Saccharomyces cerevisiae S288C: one gene and its partners. The gene in region 1 interacts genetically with each later gene. Each region holds a gene or a part of one and is shown in the gene's direction. Other genes may lie near its edges.

The links.
Region 2: of SPE2 (region 1) and MRI1, changing one enhances a phenotype caused by changing the other (phenotypic enhancement), as found in Saccharomyces cerevisiae (one study listed by BioGRID).
Region 3: mutations in SPE2 (region 1) and ALR1 impair growth when combined (synthetic growth defect), as found in Saccharomyces cerevisiae (one study listed by BioGRID).

The regions. Positions count from the first base shown.
Region 1 is NC_001147.6:229,875-235,492, reverse strand, and holds SPE2 (adenosylmethionine decarboxylase SPE2), read left to right. Parts: upstream 1-1,856; coding exon 1,857-3,047; downstream 3,048-5,618. Other genes in the region: GAL11 (Gal11p), read right to left, coding at 1-553; DDR2 (Ddr2p), read left to right, coding at 3,738-3,923; AIM39 (Aim39p), read right to left, coding at 4,221-5,408.
Region 2 is NC_001148.4:765,178-770,792, forward strand, and holds MRI1 (S-methyl-5-thioribose-1-phosphate isomerase MRI1), read left to right. Parts: upstream 1-2,574; coding exon 2,575-3,810; downstream 3,811-5,615. Other genes in the region: HOB2 (Hob2p), read left to right, coding at 1-2,317. UniProt on the Saccharomyces cerevisiae protein: Catalyzes the interconversion of methylthioribose-1-phosphate (MTR-1-P) into methylthioribulose-1-phosphate (MTRu-1-P).
Region 3 is NC_001147.6:71,882-78,651, forward strand, and holds ALR1 (Mg(2+) transporter ALR1), read left to right. Parts: upstream 1-2,518; coding exon 2,519-5,098; downstream 5,099-6,770. Other genes in the region: GAS4 (1,3-beta-glucanosyltransferase), read left to right, coding at 1-834; YOL131W (uncharacterized protein), read left to right, coding at 1,150-1,476; VPS68 (Vps68p), read left to right, coding at 5,679-6,233; serine/threonine protein kinase YGK3, read right to left, coding at 6,471-6,770. UniProt on the Saccharomyces cerevisiae protein: Plasma membrane magnesium transporter.

The DNA.
Region 1 (5,618 bases):
TTTGCAGTAATTGTTTGGGAATAGGTGCCACTTTCATCTGGTTCACTAATTGTTGTTGTTGAGGAGTCAATTGACGCCTCTGTTGCTGCTGCTGCTGTTGTTGTTGTTGTTGTTGATTTCTTAATTGTTGCGCAACCTGTTGCCTTGCCTGAGCCTGCTGATTCAAGAACATCTGTGGGTTTAGATTCATATTGACATTCATATTATTGGCGCTGTTGCCAGAATTTTTCAAGTTGTTAATATGGTGCTGTTCCACGGGTTTAATGTTGTTATTAGCGGCAGCAGCAGTAACGGCGTTTTTCCTCGTATTGTACGTGTTGCGCATGACAGCAACTTTTTCGTTCATGCTGTCCATGTATTCTTTCTTTGAAGAGCTCTTTGCGAACAAAGCTGCCTCGAAGTTTTTGGCATGAATTCTTATCTTATCAGCAGTGTCGGAGCTCCCTCCGTTCAGAGTGTTAATGTCCATGAGCACCTGAAGCAACCCGTTGACGTTCTTCGCACGCTCGGCATTGGACAGAGTGTCTTTGTCTTGGACAGGAGCAGCAGACATAGCAGATTTAAAAGAAATAGCGTTTTAATCCTTGATCTTTGAGTACGGCACTATACGAAACGATACGCTTATAAAAATGGGGTTTAACTAACAAAGAAAAATATACCAGCACAAGTATATAGCAATGTCGTGGAAGTACTTCTTTGTGGAACCAGCTGTTTCCAGAGACAAATTCCTAGTCCTTGTGAATGGTTGACTATTAAAAGTTTGACTGTAAAGGTTAAGCACCTTCATCATCCTCATCCATAATATAATTTTCTGATCGACGCAACCGGGGCCGGGGTGGAAGGAAGGCCCGATTCGAAATAAAAAAGAGGCCGCCACAATGTAGGGTAATGCCTAATTATATTAACTAGAGACTGACTGAATCATATTACTTAGTTACTACTACTCTTATCATGCAAGAAGATGTGAAAAAGCGTCTTCCCCCAAATCATATAACTTCTGCACCATCCGTGGACTGTACAGGTTCAGCGGGGGAATATGTAATTGCTTGTTAGGATTGCTCTTGGGACCGTAGTATCGCGACAAGGAAGTCTGTGTAGTTCCACTTGATGTGGGCTGCCTCGCCGCTTCTTTTGCAGTCCCTAACCTTATATAGATGCGCACGCGCCAAAGCATGAGGGTACTCCATCATGTCTGTTGCACAAATATCGTAGGTTACTTGACGCTAACGTCATGTTTGATGCTCCGTTAACGAAGAGAATCGGAGCTCTTCATCTTAATCAGGCTCTTTTATAGCTCAATCATCAGTGGAAAAAATTCTTCGAACTAGAAAAAAATCAAGAAGTGAAAAAACTAAAACCGCCAACTGGCTACCCGGATAAGCCCCATAATGGCGTTCCTAGGGCTAGAAGAATTTCAAATCGATGACAGCTGATAGAAAGCGCCAGAGATATGTAGCCTTCCATCAGTAGTAATATCCAATAAATTGGGCACCATGGTTTGGCAATCAGGCTTTTTACCCTCGCCCTCTTTTCCTTCGCCTTTTACCTCTTCTGCATCCAATTTCAGCGTACGTACACAATGATTGACTTTGGAAATTTTCACTTTTTTCCACTCGAAGAAAAAAAATTCCAAACACGGTTCTCCGGTATTTAGGCATCGAATAAACTTTGCTAATCGACTAAAAGCATCTCTGCATATCTATACGTGTATATATTGTATTCGCTACAGCTCGCTCCTTGCATCAACTCTTTTTTTCTTTTTTTTCTTCCAGGTTAATCAATTACTGTACTGTAGCTTCTTTTTTATATTTTTTAGGTTTTCATATAGTGTCTTACGCAAATAGGCGGACCATAGAATGACTGTCACCATAAAAGAATTGACTAACCACAACTACATTGACCACGAACTATCAGCCACTTTAGACTCAACGGATGCGTTCGAGGGTCCCGAGAAGTTGCTGGAAATCTGGTTCTTCCCTCACAAGAAGTCCATCACGACCGAAAAGACATTAAGAAATATTGGCATGGATAGATGGATCGAGATTTTGAAATTAGTGAAATGCGAAGTTCTTTCCATGAAGAAGACTAAAGAACTGGATGCCTTTTTGTTGAGTGAGTCTTCCCTCTTCGTCTTCGATCACAAATTGACGATGAAGACGTGCGGTACTACAACCACATTGTTCTGTCTCGAAAAGCTTTTCCAGATCGTTGAGCAAGAGTTATCGTGGGCTTTCCGCACAACACAAGGGGGCAAGTACAAACCATTTAAAGTGTTTTATTCTAGACGATGTTTCCTTTTCCCCTGTAAGCAAGCCGCTATCCATCAAAACTGGGCTGACGAAGTCGACTATTTGAACAAATTTTTCGACAATGGTAAAAGTTATTCCGTGGGAAGAAATGACAAGAGCAACCACTGGAACCTGTACGTCACCGAGACGGACCGCTCCACACCTAAGGGAAAGGAGTACATCGAGGATGACGACGAAACTTTCGAAGTACTGATGACGGAGCTGGACCCAGAATGCGCTAGTAAGTTTGTTTGCGGGCCTGAGGCATCCACAACCGCTCTCGTGGAGCCAAACGAAGATAAGGGCCACAACCTCGGCTACCAAATGACTAAAAATACAAGGCTTGACGAAATATATGTCAACTCGGCCCAAGACTCCGATTTATCATTTCACCACGATGCATTTGCGTTCACGCCATGTGGATACTCATCCAATATGATTCTCGCTGAAAAATACTATTACACCCTGCACGTGACTCCGGAAAAGGGTTGGTCTTACGCCTCTTTCGAAAGTAACATACCCGTATTTGACATTTCCCAAGGGAAGCAAGACAACTTGGACGTTCTTCTACATATTCTGAACGTTTTTCAACCAAGAGAGTTCTCGATGACCTTTTTTACCAAAAATTATCAGAACCAATCCTTCCAAAAACTACTAAGCATCAACGAGTCACTGCCCGACTACATCAAGTTAGACAAAATTGTTTATGATCTGGACGACTACCACCTTTTCTATATGAAATTGCAGAAGAAAATATGAAAAGCCGCCATTTGTGTCTCCTCATACTTACATAGAATAGCCCTCTTCTATTATCCTTCGCTTGCTTTCTAGCACTCATAACTAATGTAGTTTAACCCGCTTGTATATCTTCTACATCATTACCCCGCATGCTTTTTTTTTTCCTCTAGAGAAAACCGGCACAGATTGGCCGGACCCGGAACAGGAAAAATGGCCACTGAAAATTCCTGGCCAGACCACCCCTGAGCTAAGGGAGTTTAGCCGCTCAAGCTTTTATTTCCTCTGATGTAATATATCACACACCCAGACACGGTTGCCAAGGCCTCGACGGAAGGCCGCTTCAAGGGACGGGGCAGTGGCTATCAGAAATACCTTAATATCATCAATATTTTTCATCAATCGCAAGGTGTCAAACATCAATAAAGGATGATGCTCAAAGGTTTATGCCCGATGTTCTTCTAATCCCCTTTCTCTCCTAAAATAATCCTTTTTTTACTCTTCTTCTTTTCCCCTGTTTCCATTTTTGTCTTTTCTCACCCCTTATGGGACATCAATAATGCAAGTATGTTTATACATTTTTATATAAATGTATATATAAATGCCATTTCTTACACATAACCTCCATTCTTTGGTTAATTCTTTCTTCATTCTTTTTTTTTTCATTCTGAAAAGCCCTCCAAGCAAGCACGCTAATTTAATATCGATTTAAACATGAAAGTATCACAAGTTTTCATTTCTGCCATCTCTGTCTTCGGCCTCGCTACTAGCGTAAATGCTCAAAACGCATCCAACACCACGAGTAACGCTGCTCCTGCTTTGCACGCTCAAAATGGTCAACTACTAAACGCCGGAGTCGTCGGTGCTGCTGTTGGTGGTGCTTTGGCCTTTTTGATTTAGGAAAAACGCCGCTTACTGCCACGATGATGATACCCTATTGACGTTTCTGAAATGTATAATTTCTTTTCTCATCTTCCCCTTTGATATTCCATCTATAGGCCCCAGAGTAGTAAATTTGGTGCTTTAATTTTTTTTCTCTTCTTCCAGTTCGTCTCTATTTTTTCATTCCATTATATTTATTTATCAGTTTTACTTTCTCAAATATTCTTATATAACACTATTTCATCTACGTAACCGAAAATAAGTAGTTTAATAACGATAATAATCATAATTGTGATAAAAATATTTACATTTTTCTTACTTGTCGCCCGCTTCGTTTTTGTATAGAACGTACTGTATTAGTTGTCCGTTCTTTTCACGTCTGAAGAGGTCGATTTCTTGCAATTTAACATCAACGTGGTATTTTCCATTATATACAATCAAAGAATCATCGTCCAGTTCGATTTCGCCATGAAACCAAAGGTGTAATGCATGTGAGTCCCCCTGCAGTGGGTATTCGTACTTGAACGACCCGTATACCCTCTCCGGCGATATAATCTCAAATAAATCGGCTGTTTCCAAACCAATGCGGTTCAGTAAATCGTCGATGGTTCCCCGTATACTTATTGGCCGATGCGTTATCCTCCATTTGCAAACAAAGGGTATTCTATACCAAGTGTGCGAACTATCCCTTTTATCGTCTGGCTCCATTACAATACCAGTTACACATGGATCTTGATCTTCGCACCACATGCTGAATTCATTTAACGTGGGTGAATTGCCATCTTTATCAAGCAATGGTACTCCGTATTGTTCCTTGATCATGTCATGACCGGATAATATCTCTAAAACCCTTAATTTAGAAAGCTTCTGTACTTGGTTTACGTCAACCTTTTTCAAATCTCTGGTACTCAGTTTACGTATCTTGGATGATGGAAACAATGGTAAGAAACTTTGTTCCTTTAAATATATCACTCTATAGATTAGTGAGTATCCTAATATCACACCGAATATACCACCAAATATGGCGGACCATATTTGCTTTCGGCGCTTGTTTCGCTGATGTGTTATTGCTTGACCAATGCTTCTCAAGTCCTCTCCTTTTATGTTAGGACTGTGTCCCTCTTCAATTTCCCCCAACTTCGTCTGTTGCTGTTGATGTGGCGTCGTAAAAAAATGCTTGCCATCATGGACATGCCTTTTCGACTCTGTCAATGAATTTCTTTTAGTTGTAATGCTTTTATTCAAGGTATTCAACCTTACATGACAATAGGTAGGCGCCTGGGTAAATAAGCATATACTTCTCGCGGACAGTAGAGATGTGTTAGCATTACGTAGAATCGCAAACCGTATCATTACCCCTTTTTCCTTCTTCTTGCAATTGAATACAGGAAACAGTTGCTTTGTCTTATGTTCGCTGCCACTCTTCTTTGGTTTTAATGCTTTGTTTCTCTCCTGCACTTGAATTTTATTGCTCGGAAAATGCTTCTTGCATAACCCCCACATAATTGGGCTGATTAACGTGACGCTAAAAAAATACCAATAGCAGTCCCAAAAAAAAAAAAAAAAAGATTCACATATGTATTGATTTTACTTTACGAAATTCTTGACCTATTTATATCATAAACGAGTGCTTATATTTCCGATCCTACTATCGCTTAAAAATCTTAATGTAATAAGGATAGAAAGGAAATTTTTTAAAAACATACATAAAAG
Region 2 (5,615 bases), on another chromosome or scaffold:
GACCAATACCGTGGAGTCTTTTGTATCAATGAGAAAAGCCTCTACTATGCAGGTTGAGTCCACCTATGATAACCGTTTCATGGTCCATAATATCGAGTTAAAAATCGATAATAAAATCAGGCATCACCTTTTGGAATACGCTTCCAGTGCTTTCGAAAGGAAATCTATGAGGTTTGCTGTGACTTATAAATCCGTAACTATTTTAAAAGAATTACTGGGAAATGTGTTGACTGGGGTCAGAACATCTGTAGAAGATTATGGTTCAATACTTGAGGACGATTTAGCCAGTAATTCAGAATTTATTGAGCACTTTGAGAAACTCATCAGAGAAGTTCCGAGTGATGACTTTGATTATGTTGATAATTATCTTTTTAGACTAATCTCCCCTCAGGTTCAGATCAAATCGGACGTTGAAAGGAACGCAGCAGTTATTTTAGCTGCTAGGGATATAGAAATGGGAATAATTGATATAGTTCAAGTGTATGGAAAATCAGGAAAAAGAATTCCCGTTGACGTCGATACTATTGTTGAAACTCGCTATTCCGCTGTTTCAAAGGACATTCAGTTGTTTACATTGTTCAAAAAGGATTTAGAGGGTCCTGAAGGTAGATTTTTCCATAAAAATGGATATGGTTCCGACAAAGAGTCAGATATATGGCCCCCATGGATTCCTCTTGAAATGTGCTTTGACGGGTCTTTATTAGATAAGCATGTTTTTCTAAAACGGAGATCAATGTTTTTGACCTACGTCGCTCCCAATCCCCTATTTTTTAGTGCAAATGATACGTCTGCATTCTCTTATGATTCGAGATTTCGTATTGCATTTCCAGGATTGGTTCTGACCTCGGACTGTCAACAATACTGCGCTGTATATGCAATCGCAGAAGATTTACTTTCCTTTGGATCATCATTGGATGAAAAAGTTGAGAAACTTTCCAGGATATTATTTACTGATGAGGTCAGAAATAACCTGGAAAATCTTGATGTCTCTGTTGTCACAGCATTACAAGAAAGAATAAAGGAACTCTATTATACGCGAGCATACCTCAAACTTCACGAGCCAAGATTGTTTATGAAATCAGGACAAGAGCTAACCTTCGATATTCAAACTAGTACGTTGAAGTTGACGTTACTTATGACGGCAATCAAGAAAACTTACGACCGGATGGGGAGTGGTAATAGAGTAATACAGAAAAGATTGAGGTGGCAAGTTGGAACAGATGAATTGATATGGGAATTGTACGATGAGAGTAAAACTCCTTTCGTGACTATCGGATTGGGGCCCTCTACATTTATTCGTTCAGAAACTTCCGATGGCACTAATAGTAATAAAGTATCCATTTCTTCCTTACAATGTTTCAACCAGCAAGAAAATCCCGTTTACACTGAATTGCTGGCCCCCTTTTATGAAAATTCATCCTATAATAAGAACGCGCCAATGGTAGAAATTTTTTGGATCCTGGGGCCATCAGTTGGAGGTATTTCAGATCTGCAAGATTTGATTGTTTCTCTACAGCCATTGATTTTCAAGATGGATCACAAAACATCGGAAAAACTAATGAATTATCTATTTCCAAAGATAGAACAAACTTCCATAGAACCCAATTCTCCAGAACTTGTACCACGTTCTTCCACTAGTTCCTTCTTTTCATCGTCTCCAGTTTTACGGCACAGTCTTTCTAACGGTTCTTTATCTGTGTACGATGCGAAAGACGTTGACTCTTGGGACTTGCGTAGTATCCAGAGCAAAGAAGGTATCAAAAAGCATAAGGGTGATCATAGAAAATTGTCAGCATCACTTTTTGTGCAACCTGATTATAACATCAATGAAATGGTCAAAAGATCAGGGACATTTTTCAATGTAAAATCTATTATAATCCGAAAAACTCTAATGTCCGTGTGTTATAAGGGTTCACACAGCCTTTTGACCGATGTTAATAACCTGATTGTTAGAGTCCCTGTTTTAAAGTACCATAACAAACTGTGGTCGAGGGAAGAATTTTTTACTGCTTTGAAAAGAGACGTCGTAAGAATAGTTTTACAACATTTGGGAAATATTATTGGTAACAAATTTTTGCCTCATAAAAAAGAGAATAAGAAAAAAACTTCTATGGAAATACATCGATTACTAAGTCCAGATTCTCAAAATCGTGATAATTCACATATCCTTGAAGTCGAAGGGCATAATTCATTTTATAGCTCCACGCACTCTTCAGATATCAGATCAATAAACTCAGATGAAACGTATAATGAAAATGATGGAAATGGAGTAAAGCCATTTTACCCTGTTACGAGTGAGTTTTCAAAAAATAAATGAGGAAACACACACATGTGTCTAGCGTAAATATTCTTCAGTTATATAGTAATTGTATTATATACTAAAATGAAAATCAGTAAGATTTTTTTTTTACAGGCCTTCTTGGCGTTAGTTTTTCCGGTTTTTCACTTACTAAGATGAGATGATGGGGCGCACGGCCAAAGTATTCCCCATTCATCAATTTAGCATGCTAGAATAAAAAGATTAAGAGCAATATCTACGACCGACAAAGTGATCTATCAAACTGCTGACAAAAAATGTCGTTGGAAGCCATCGTCTTTGATAGATCGGAGCCAGAAAATGTTTCGGTAAAGGTACTTGATCAATTACTTTTACCATATACTACTAAATACGTTCCAATTCACACAATTGATGATGGGTACTCAGTCATCAAAAGTATGCAGGTGAGAGGTGCCCCGGCAATTGCAATTGTGGGTTCGTTATCTGTTTTGACTGAGGTACAATTAATAAAACACAACCCAACTTCTGATGTTGCTACGCTGTATTCTTTAGTTAACTGGGAATCTACAAAAACAGTGCTAAATAAGAGGCTAGATTTCCTTTTGAGTAGTAGACCCACAGCCGTTAATTTATCAAATTCTCTTGTAGAGATAAAGAACATACTGAAATCCTCAAGTGACCTAAAGGCTTTTGACGGTAGTTTATATAATTACGTCTGTGAATTGATAGATGAGGATTTGGCGAATAACATGAAAATGGGTGATAATGGAGCTAAGTATTTGATTGACGTGTTACAAAAGGACGGTTTCAAGGACGAATTTGCCGTTCTGACGATTTGTAATACTGGATCCTTAGCAACCTCTGGATATGGCACGGCTTTAGGTGTTATCCGTTCTTTGTGGAAGGATTCACTTGCTAAAACCGACAAGGCAGACTCGGGATTGGACAATGAAAAATGCCCGAGGATGGGCCATGTCTTCCCACTGGAAACTAGACCTTATAATCAAGGGTCAAGGCTAACAGCATACGAGCTAGTTTATGATAAGATTCCATCAACTTTAATTACTGATAGTTCCATCGCGTATAGAATTAGAACTAGTCCAATTCCAATCAAAGCAGCATTTGTTGGAGCTGATAGAATTGTTCGTAATGGGGATACAGCAAATAAAATTGGTACTTTACAACTTGCTGTAATTTGTAAGCAGTTCGGAATTAAGTTTTTTGTAGTAGCTCCCAAAACAACTATCGATAATGTAACCGAAACTGGCGATGACATTATTGTGGAAGAACGTAACCCTGAGGAATTCAAGGTTGTTACTGGTACAGTAATTAATCCTGAAAATGGTTCCTTGATATTGAATGAGTCAGGAGAGCCAATCACTGGAAAGGTCGGTATTGCCCCTCTTGAAATCAATGTCTGGAATCCAGCCTTCGACATTACTCCACATGAGCTTATTGACGGAATTATCACAGAAGAAGGTGTATTTACCAAAAATTCCAGTGGTGAATTTCAACTGGAAAGCCTTTTCTAGATATCATTCTAATTAGACTCTCGAAATAATTACTTTTGTACTGTAAAGGATAAAATTTCATATTGAGATGTAAGAATTATTTTTTTTTTTCATTCAATAAAAGGAACACATTAATGTATATTGTCAGAACCTTGTAAGTCCAAAACACTATAACCAACTGATACAATATGTATTGTCTTTGTTTCTGCATATTTGTAAAACGTGCAAAAAAGTAAAGAACTCCTCATAGGGGGCTCGAACCCCTGACATTTCGGTATCCTTGCTTAAGCAAATGCGCTTAAAAGCCGAACGCTCTACCAACTGAGCTAACAAGGATGAGTTCTTCGGAGCGTGTTGTATCTCAAAATGAGATATGTCAGTATGACAATACGTCATCCTGAACGTTCATAAAACACATATGAAACAACCTTATAACAAAACGAACAACATGAGACAAAACCCGTCCTTCCCTAGCTGAACTACCCAAAAGTATAAATGCCTGAACAATTAGTTTAGATCCGAGATTCCGCGTTTCCACCACTTAGTATGATTCATATTTTATATAGTATATAAGATAAGTAACATTCCGTGAATTAATCTGATAAACTGTTTTAACAACTGGTTACTTCCCTAAGACTGTTTATATTAGGATTGTCAAGACACTCCGGTATTACTCGAGCCCGTAATACAACAGAGCGTCCTTAATAAATATTTCTATAAATATTTGATGTTTACCTTCCGAAAAAGGTACATTGCCAACCTTATTTGATAAATGTGTAAACTAAGATAAGTGTTGAGATCGGATTTTGATAAAGGCATTTGTTTGGGGTGTATGAGTTGGGAAAAGAAACAACAATCATCTCTTGACCAGTTTTCCTACTACTAGTGTGTTATCATATAGCGTAAGAGTATGACATAGAGATTGAGAAACAGAAACTGAATCATAACGAACATCACAGAATTTACATTTCTACACAATTTTCAGAAAAAGTGGAGTGGTGATATATGCTTATTGTTCTACAAGTTCTCTTCATGCGTTTTTGTTTATCTATCTTATTGAATTATTATCTTCATGCATTTATACTTATTAAATTCGATGAACATTTCATATTATTTTTATATGCTTCATAATTCATGTTACTACGATCTATACAGAGTATTATCGTAATGTCTTACCTTTAGCTTGTCACTTAACACATGCACTGCATTTCGAAAAGATGCTTAAGCAAGTTTATCATAATTTGGGAGTGTTCGGTGAATTTATACAGAAAGCCCCTCCAACGTCTTATTGATAATGTATATTTAGTTCATTTACCAAAATACTATCAATTCATCAACCTCCAAGTGGTTTTGACTAAACAGCCCACAATTGACATATGTGACTGCTAAGCAGACCTTTCTTGAAGTAAATTTCAGGGAAACTAAGCTACGGCCTTTCCAAAATATGGGCAGGAACTGCTTAATCCTTTCCTTTTATTAGATAAGCACTTTAGTATTTTTGTTTTTCATGGCCTTATCCTACGTTATTGTCGTGAAAGAAATGGCAGAAATTTCTGTTGTACATAAATTACTAACTGCCTTACCTTGAAAACGGTTTTATTACAAAAATAGGGGTCAAGTGTTTTGTTATCCCTGTTGTTGTTGTTTTATAAGTCCTAATCTCGCTTGAATATCGCCCATATTCACACCCTGTTCTTGACCGTCTACTAAGGTGCCTTAGGGGGACTCAAACTTAAGATCGCCTTCTACGCGTTTTATGCTATGATCATTAGTGTTGATGCATCGGAAGTTTAAAAATTAAGTGCGAGTGCATTAGCACAGTGGAA
Region 3 (6,770 bases), 160 kb from region 1:
ATTCCGGTAGGTTACTCTGCTGCAGATGACCTGAACTATAGGGTATCACTGTCCGAATATTTGGAGTGTAAAGATGATGATAAGCCAGAGAATAGCGTTGATTTTTACGGAGTTAACTCCTACCAATGGTGTGGCCAACAAACTATGCAAACTTCAGGGTACGATACATTGGTGGATGCTTACAGGAGCTATTCCAAGCCAGTTTTTTTTTCAGAATTTGGATGCAATAAAGTATTGCCAAGGCAATTCCAGGAAATAGGTTATTTGTTTTCTGAGGAGATGTATTCAGTATTCTGTGGAGGTCTGGTTTACGAATTTTCACAGGAGGATAATAATTATGGGTTAGTTGAATATCAAGAAGATGATTCAGTACAGCTCTTAGCAGATTTTGAGAAGCTTAAATCGCACTACCAAAACATTGAGTTTCCTTCTATGAAGACTTTAAAGGAAACTGTTCAGATGGAGGAGACGCCATCATGTGCGGAAGATTATGAAAATTTGAAGATTGAATCTAAAATTGCTAAAAATTTAGGAAGTTCTTTGATAAAAAAAGGCGTGAAAGTTGAAAAAGGCAAATACATAGATATTCACGAGGATCAGCTGTCCACCAATGTCACGATTTTAGACAAGCATGGTGACAGATGGAATGGGCCCAAAAAGATTGAAATTAGGCAAAGCCTGACATTGGCAGACCTGGAAGGAGAAGAACAAGAAGACGCAGATGAAGACAAAGATGATTTAAAACGAAAACACCGGAATTCTGCCTCTATTTCCGGCCCATTGTTACCTCTTGGGTTGTGTTTGCTTTTTTTTACTTTTAGTTTATTTTTTTAGACTTTAATGTCGTTCTCCCTTTTTAAAGAGTAAATACATATTTAAAAAAGTGACTATGGCTATTGCTAAACGTGATAAAAATCAGAGCCTATAACACTCTCTGAAATAACGCTATGCAGGAATTTCCAGTTAAGTTCTTCTTGGGGTGACTTCTTTACTCGGTATGATATGTGTTTTATATGCACAGTACGAGTCCATTAGGGTAAATTAGTGGCCGAGAAACTTTTGCCGCCGAGCTTTTAAGTATCCTTTTGCCACTTCTTATTTAGATAAAGACCTGGCAGTAGTAGTCGTAGAAGATAAGATAGACAGAGAATGAATACTAATAAGATAGCACAAGACGAAGTCCAAGATAAGGTTTTGCAAAGAGCAGAACTAGCACATTCTGTATGGAACTTAAGGTTCAACCTCAGTAAAGTTGCCAAACGGATTCGCATGGAAACAAAGGTATTTCCAGAGATAAAGATAAATGACGCGCAATCACAGTTAGAGCGATCTAGGTGTAGAATATTTAGCCCTGACCTGGAGGAAGAACATGTGCCCTTGATTCAAGGCTTTAAATGTTTGGATTCACCCCCTCCCGTTCCACCAAGCTCATCGCAGGGGGAGGATGAAGAGAACACGGTAGATTCGCAATACTAGGAAATTAGAACCGAATCAAAATAGTTCCGATCCTAACTTTTCTACTAATCTTTGAGATTTTATCTCATTAACTCTTTGACCAAGCTATGAAATGCGTAAGATGAACTTTTGTTTGAGAGTGTTAAGTATTTAGGCGTCTACGCTATGATAGCCTCACTCTAGGACGACTGCTTTTTTGGAACAACTTGTTGTTCTCCGATGGTATATTGTGTGTTTATGTATTGTTCTACGTACTCCTCCGTCTCTTTTTCGAGGGCAACGCTTTGAACTAGTATTTTCCGTTATAGTATGTCCCCCCTATATGCAACCCCTTGAATGGACGAATCTCTAAAATATACAACCTTTTCCTCTATAGGAAACAAGTAGGGTCTTCTACGCTAAGGATTACATAACGCATGTATCAAAAACTGATTTTAATTGATTAATTTCAAAATGTCAGCGTAGGTTCACCTAGACTTGTTTTATAGCTCCATTCAACTGGCGGTAGACACAACTAAAGCCAAAAATTGCCTAAAAATTTCAGTACTCTGGCAGCATCTACTCATTTAATTGCCGTAATACATGGGACTCAATGATCCTTAATATGCTAAATGCTACCCCTCCTTTTTTCTTTTTTATTCCTCATAAAATTGCAAATATCGCAAGCACGTTTTTACTCAGCCCGTCCGCTTTGAGATACAAAAACGATATCTGAAATTAAAATTTTCTCTGGAACATGGTCCATCGAACTAATTATGCATAATAACGTACGTTCCTATCCTATGAACACTTTTCTTTTTCTGGATAAACTGACTTAACAGTAGAAAACGTAGTGTGCAAGGCCATCCTTCAATATAGACTCAAAATTAGAAAGAGTGCCCTGATTAGTTGAGTTTTTCCTTCTATAAGCAAGAAAAATATCATCCTGACAAGAGACAGGTATTATATAAAATATTTCTACATGGAAGTATACTGTTAGTTGAACATAAATTCAACAAAAGGATACCATTACTTCTTCTCAAAGATCATCGAATATTGCTAGAAAGCGTAAAAGCATTTTACCATGTCATCATCCTCAAGTTCATCAGAGTCATCGCCTAATTTATCGCGGTCAAACTCACTGGCTAACACGATGGTTTCCATGAAAACAGAAGACCATACGGGATTGTACGACCATAGGCAGCACCCTGACTCACTGCCGGTCCGTCACCAACCTCCAACATTGAAGAACAAGGAAATTGCTAAGTCCACTAAACCTTCTATTCCTAAGGAGCAGAAGAGTGCAACGAGATACAACAGCCATGTGGATGTGGGAAGCGTACCCAGTAGGGGCCGCATGGATTTTGAAGATGAAGGGCAGGGTATGGATGAAACGGTTGCTCATCATCAATTGAGGGCATCTGCCATTTTAACTTCTAACGCGAGGCCTTCCAGACTAGCCCACTCCATGCCACATCAAAGGCAGCTTTATGTGGAAAGTAATATACACACACCACCAAAGGATGTAGGTGTAAAGAGAGACTATACTATGTCATCTTCTACTGCATCATCAGGTAACAAATCCAAGCTGAGCGCATCTTCCTCGGCAAGTCCTATTACGAAGGTTAGAAAATCTTCGCTGGTCAGTCCTGTTCTTGAGATCCCACACGAATCGAAATCTGATACACACTCCAAGCTGGCTAAACCCAAGAAGAGGACATATTCTACCACATCTGCGCATTCATCTATCAATCCCGCAGTTTTACTGACGAAAAGCACATCCCAAAAATCGGATGCAGATGATGATACATTGGAAAGAAAACCAGTACGTATGAATACTAGAGCTTCTTTTGATAGTGACGTATCACAGGCGTCGAGAGATTCTCAAGAGACGGAAGAAGATGTTTGTTTCCCTATGCCACCACAATTGCATACCAGAGTTAACGGTATAGATTTCGATGAACTGGAAGAGTACGCTCAGTTTGCAAACGCGGAGAAGAGTCAATTTTTGGCAAGTCTGCAAGTGCCCAACGAACAGAAGTACAGTAACGTTTCTCAGGATATCGGGTTTACCAGCTCTACTTCCACTTCGGGATCATCAGCTGCCCTAAAATATACACCAAGAGTTTCGCAGACTGGTGAAAAGAGCGAGAGTACCAATGAAACAGAAATCCATGAAAAGAAGGAAGACGAGCATGAGAAAATCAAGCCTAGTTTACACCCTGGTATATCTTTCGGTAAAAATAAAGTTGAAGGGGAAGAGAATGAAAACATTCCATCCAATGACCCGGCGTATTGCTCTTACCAGGGTACAGACTTTCAAATTCCTAATAGATTTTCTTTTTTCTGTTCCGAATCTGATGAAACCGTTCATGCTAGTGATATCCCTTCCTTAGTGTCTGAGGGACAAACATTCTATGAATTATTCAGGGGAGGTGAGCCAACATGGTGGTTAGATTGTAGTTGTCCAACTGATGATGAAATGCGTTGCATAGCAAAGGCGTTTGGTATCCATCCATTGACTGCAGAAGATATCAGAATGCAAGAAACACGTGAAAAGGTGGAACTTTTCAAATCGTATTACTTCGTTTGTTTCCATACCTTTGAAAATGATAAAGAATCAGAGGATTTCCTGGAACCTATTAACGTTTACATTGTTGTCTGTAGGTCAGGTGTTTTAACATTCCATTTTGGCCCAATATCTCATTGTGCTAATGTCAGAAGGCGTGTAAGACAGTTACGTGACTATGTCAATGTCAATTCAGATTGGTTATGTTATGCTTTAATCGATGACATTACTGATAGTTTCGCTCCTGTAATTCAATCTATTGAATATGAAGCAGATGCAATCGAAGATTCTGTGTTCATGGCTCGTGACATGGATTTTGCAGCAATGTTACAAAGAATTGGTGAAAGTAGGCGTAAGACAATGACGTTGATGAGACTTCTTAGTGGTAAGGCTGATGTTATCAAAATGTTTGCCAAAAGATGCCAAGATGAAGCTAATGGTATTGGACCGGCACTAACATCTCAAATAAATATTGCTAACTTACAGGCAAGGCAGGATAACGCCAGTCATATCAAAAATAATAGTTCGACAACTGTACCAAATAATTATGCGCCCACCACATCACAACCGAGGGGGGATATCGCCCTATACTTGGGTGATATTCAAGATCATTTGTTGACAATGTTTCAAAATTTGCTGGCGTACGAAAAAATTTTTTCTAGATCCCATACAAACTACTTAGCTCAACTGCAAGTGGAATCATTTAATTCTAATAATAAAGTGACAGAAATGTTGGGTAAAGTCACCATGATAGGTACAATGCTAGTTCCATTAAATGTTATCACTGGTCTTTTCGGTATGAATGTTAAAGTTCCGGGGGAGAATTCCAGTATCGCGTGGTGGTTTGGGATATTGGGTGTGCTGCTTTTGCTGGCCGTCCTTGGTTGGTTCTTGGCCAGCTATTGGATTAAAAGAATAGACCCTCCTGCAACACTTAACGAGGCCGCTGAAAGTGGAGCCAAATCGGTTATTTCGAGCTTCTTGCCAAAAAGAAACAAGAGATTCAATGATCGTTCCAAAAATATAAATGTAAGAGCCGGTCCTTCAAACAAATCAGTTGCAAGTCTTCCTAGTAGATATAGCCGCTACGACTGATTAGTGATGTGATAAAGATAGAAGATTTAAGTCACAGAGGCGTGCATCTACGATTTTGGCGTTTCACATTTTTTACACTTAAATTTTAGTGATCTAGCCGTGACCTTGGCAGCAGTTTCCAAAATCATTCCATGACCATGTCATGCTTAAGAACGTTAGACCCAGAACAAGTGGACCTGTATTCTAACTCTTCACTCTTGGGCAAAGATAATAGTATTATCTTTTACCCCATTTTTTGTATGTTTTTTCGTTTATTGAGTTTGGCGTTTCCTATTTAGAAATAGTACAATCCGGTCAATCATTCGATAGTGAAATATATATATTTAACTAGGAAAATTAGTAAAACCTCATTTAAAGATCATTCACCTTGATATATACTACTATTGACCTTTTGTTAATGACCATTTTCGTAAAAATGAACTGCGATTCTCTTCTGGAATTTGTTACCCTACCTTATTCACTAAATCAGAAATAATAATGTGCAGCGCCCCTTTCATAAAGAAGGCAAGTATAGGGCATATAGTTAAAGGTCAGAACTCTTTATCCCCAACTACAAGATCAATTAGAAAATCACATCATCATGGAGGCAGATGATCATGTTAGCTTATTTCGCTTCCCCTTCAAGATTCCCACCTTTCGTGGTATAAGAAAAGGTGGGGTCTATCTTTCAGGTGCTCTCTATGCTCTAGGCTTTTGGATATTTCTAGACGCAGTGCTCTATTCTAGATATTCCAATGCATCAGATGTTCATGTTACGTTCATTGACTGGATTCCTTTTCTTTGCAGCACACTGGGAACATTGATTGTGAATTCTATTGAAAAGAATAGATTATTGCAGGGAGCTTTATCGTCAGATGGTGGTGCCTTCGGTAGTGGTGTAGGCGATTTAGATTCAAGCATGGCATGGCAAGCTCGAACCGTTTTATTTTTTGGCTTTGCTTTATTAGCTGGTGGGCTATCAGGCTCCATTGTCGTGTTGATCATCAAATTTTTAGTCAAGGATTACAATACCTATCCAACTTTGGGGATGGGAGTAAACAATGTGTTGGGGAATGTATGCATATTATTGAGTTGCGTTGTTTTATGGATAGCCCAAAATGTTGAAGATGAATATTCATATTCTTTGACGCTCTAAGTTAAGTTGACCAATATTTTCGAGGCCAATTAAGGCGATCTGATTTAGATAAAAAACGTATATATGTATTTATCAACACTTTTTCGAAAACAAAAAGATTTTTAGATAGGAGTATGTACATTCCAATATATTTGTAATGTTTCACATAAAAGGACAGTCTGAGAAAAAATGCAAGTAATGTGGTAAGAAGGAAACATAAGATGACGGCAAATGCAAAAATGAGGTAAGAATCAGCAACTAATCCAGAGATGGCACAATCAAGTTGTAATACTCTCCAAGAGCCCTTTTCTCCGATGCACTAAAATTAAAGAGGTCTGGTAGGTGAACCGGCATACTCGAACCTCTTGGCAAAAAATAGGTTTCATTTCTTAACGCGTCAAAAAATTCGTGAGCCATCAATTGTCTAGCATCGCACCTTTCAGTGGCATCATACGTCAACACCTTTAGCAAGAATTCCACATCAAAAAATTCTATAGAGGGAAACCAATGCATAAACTTCTTGAATTTTTGGTCATTTAAGCTATCCTGTAACTCTTG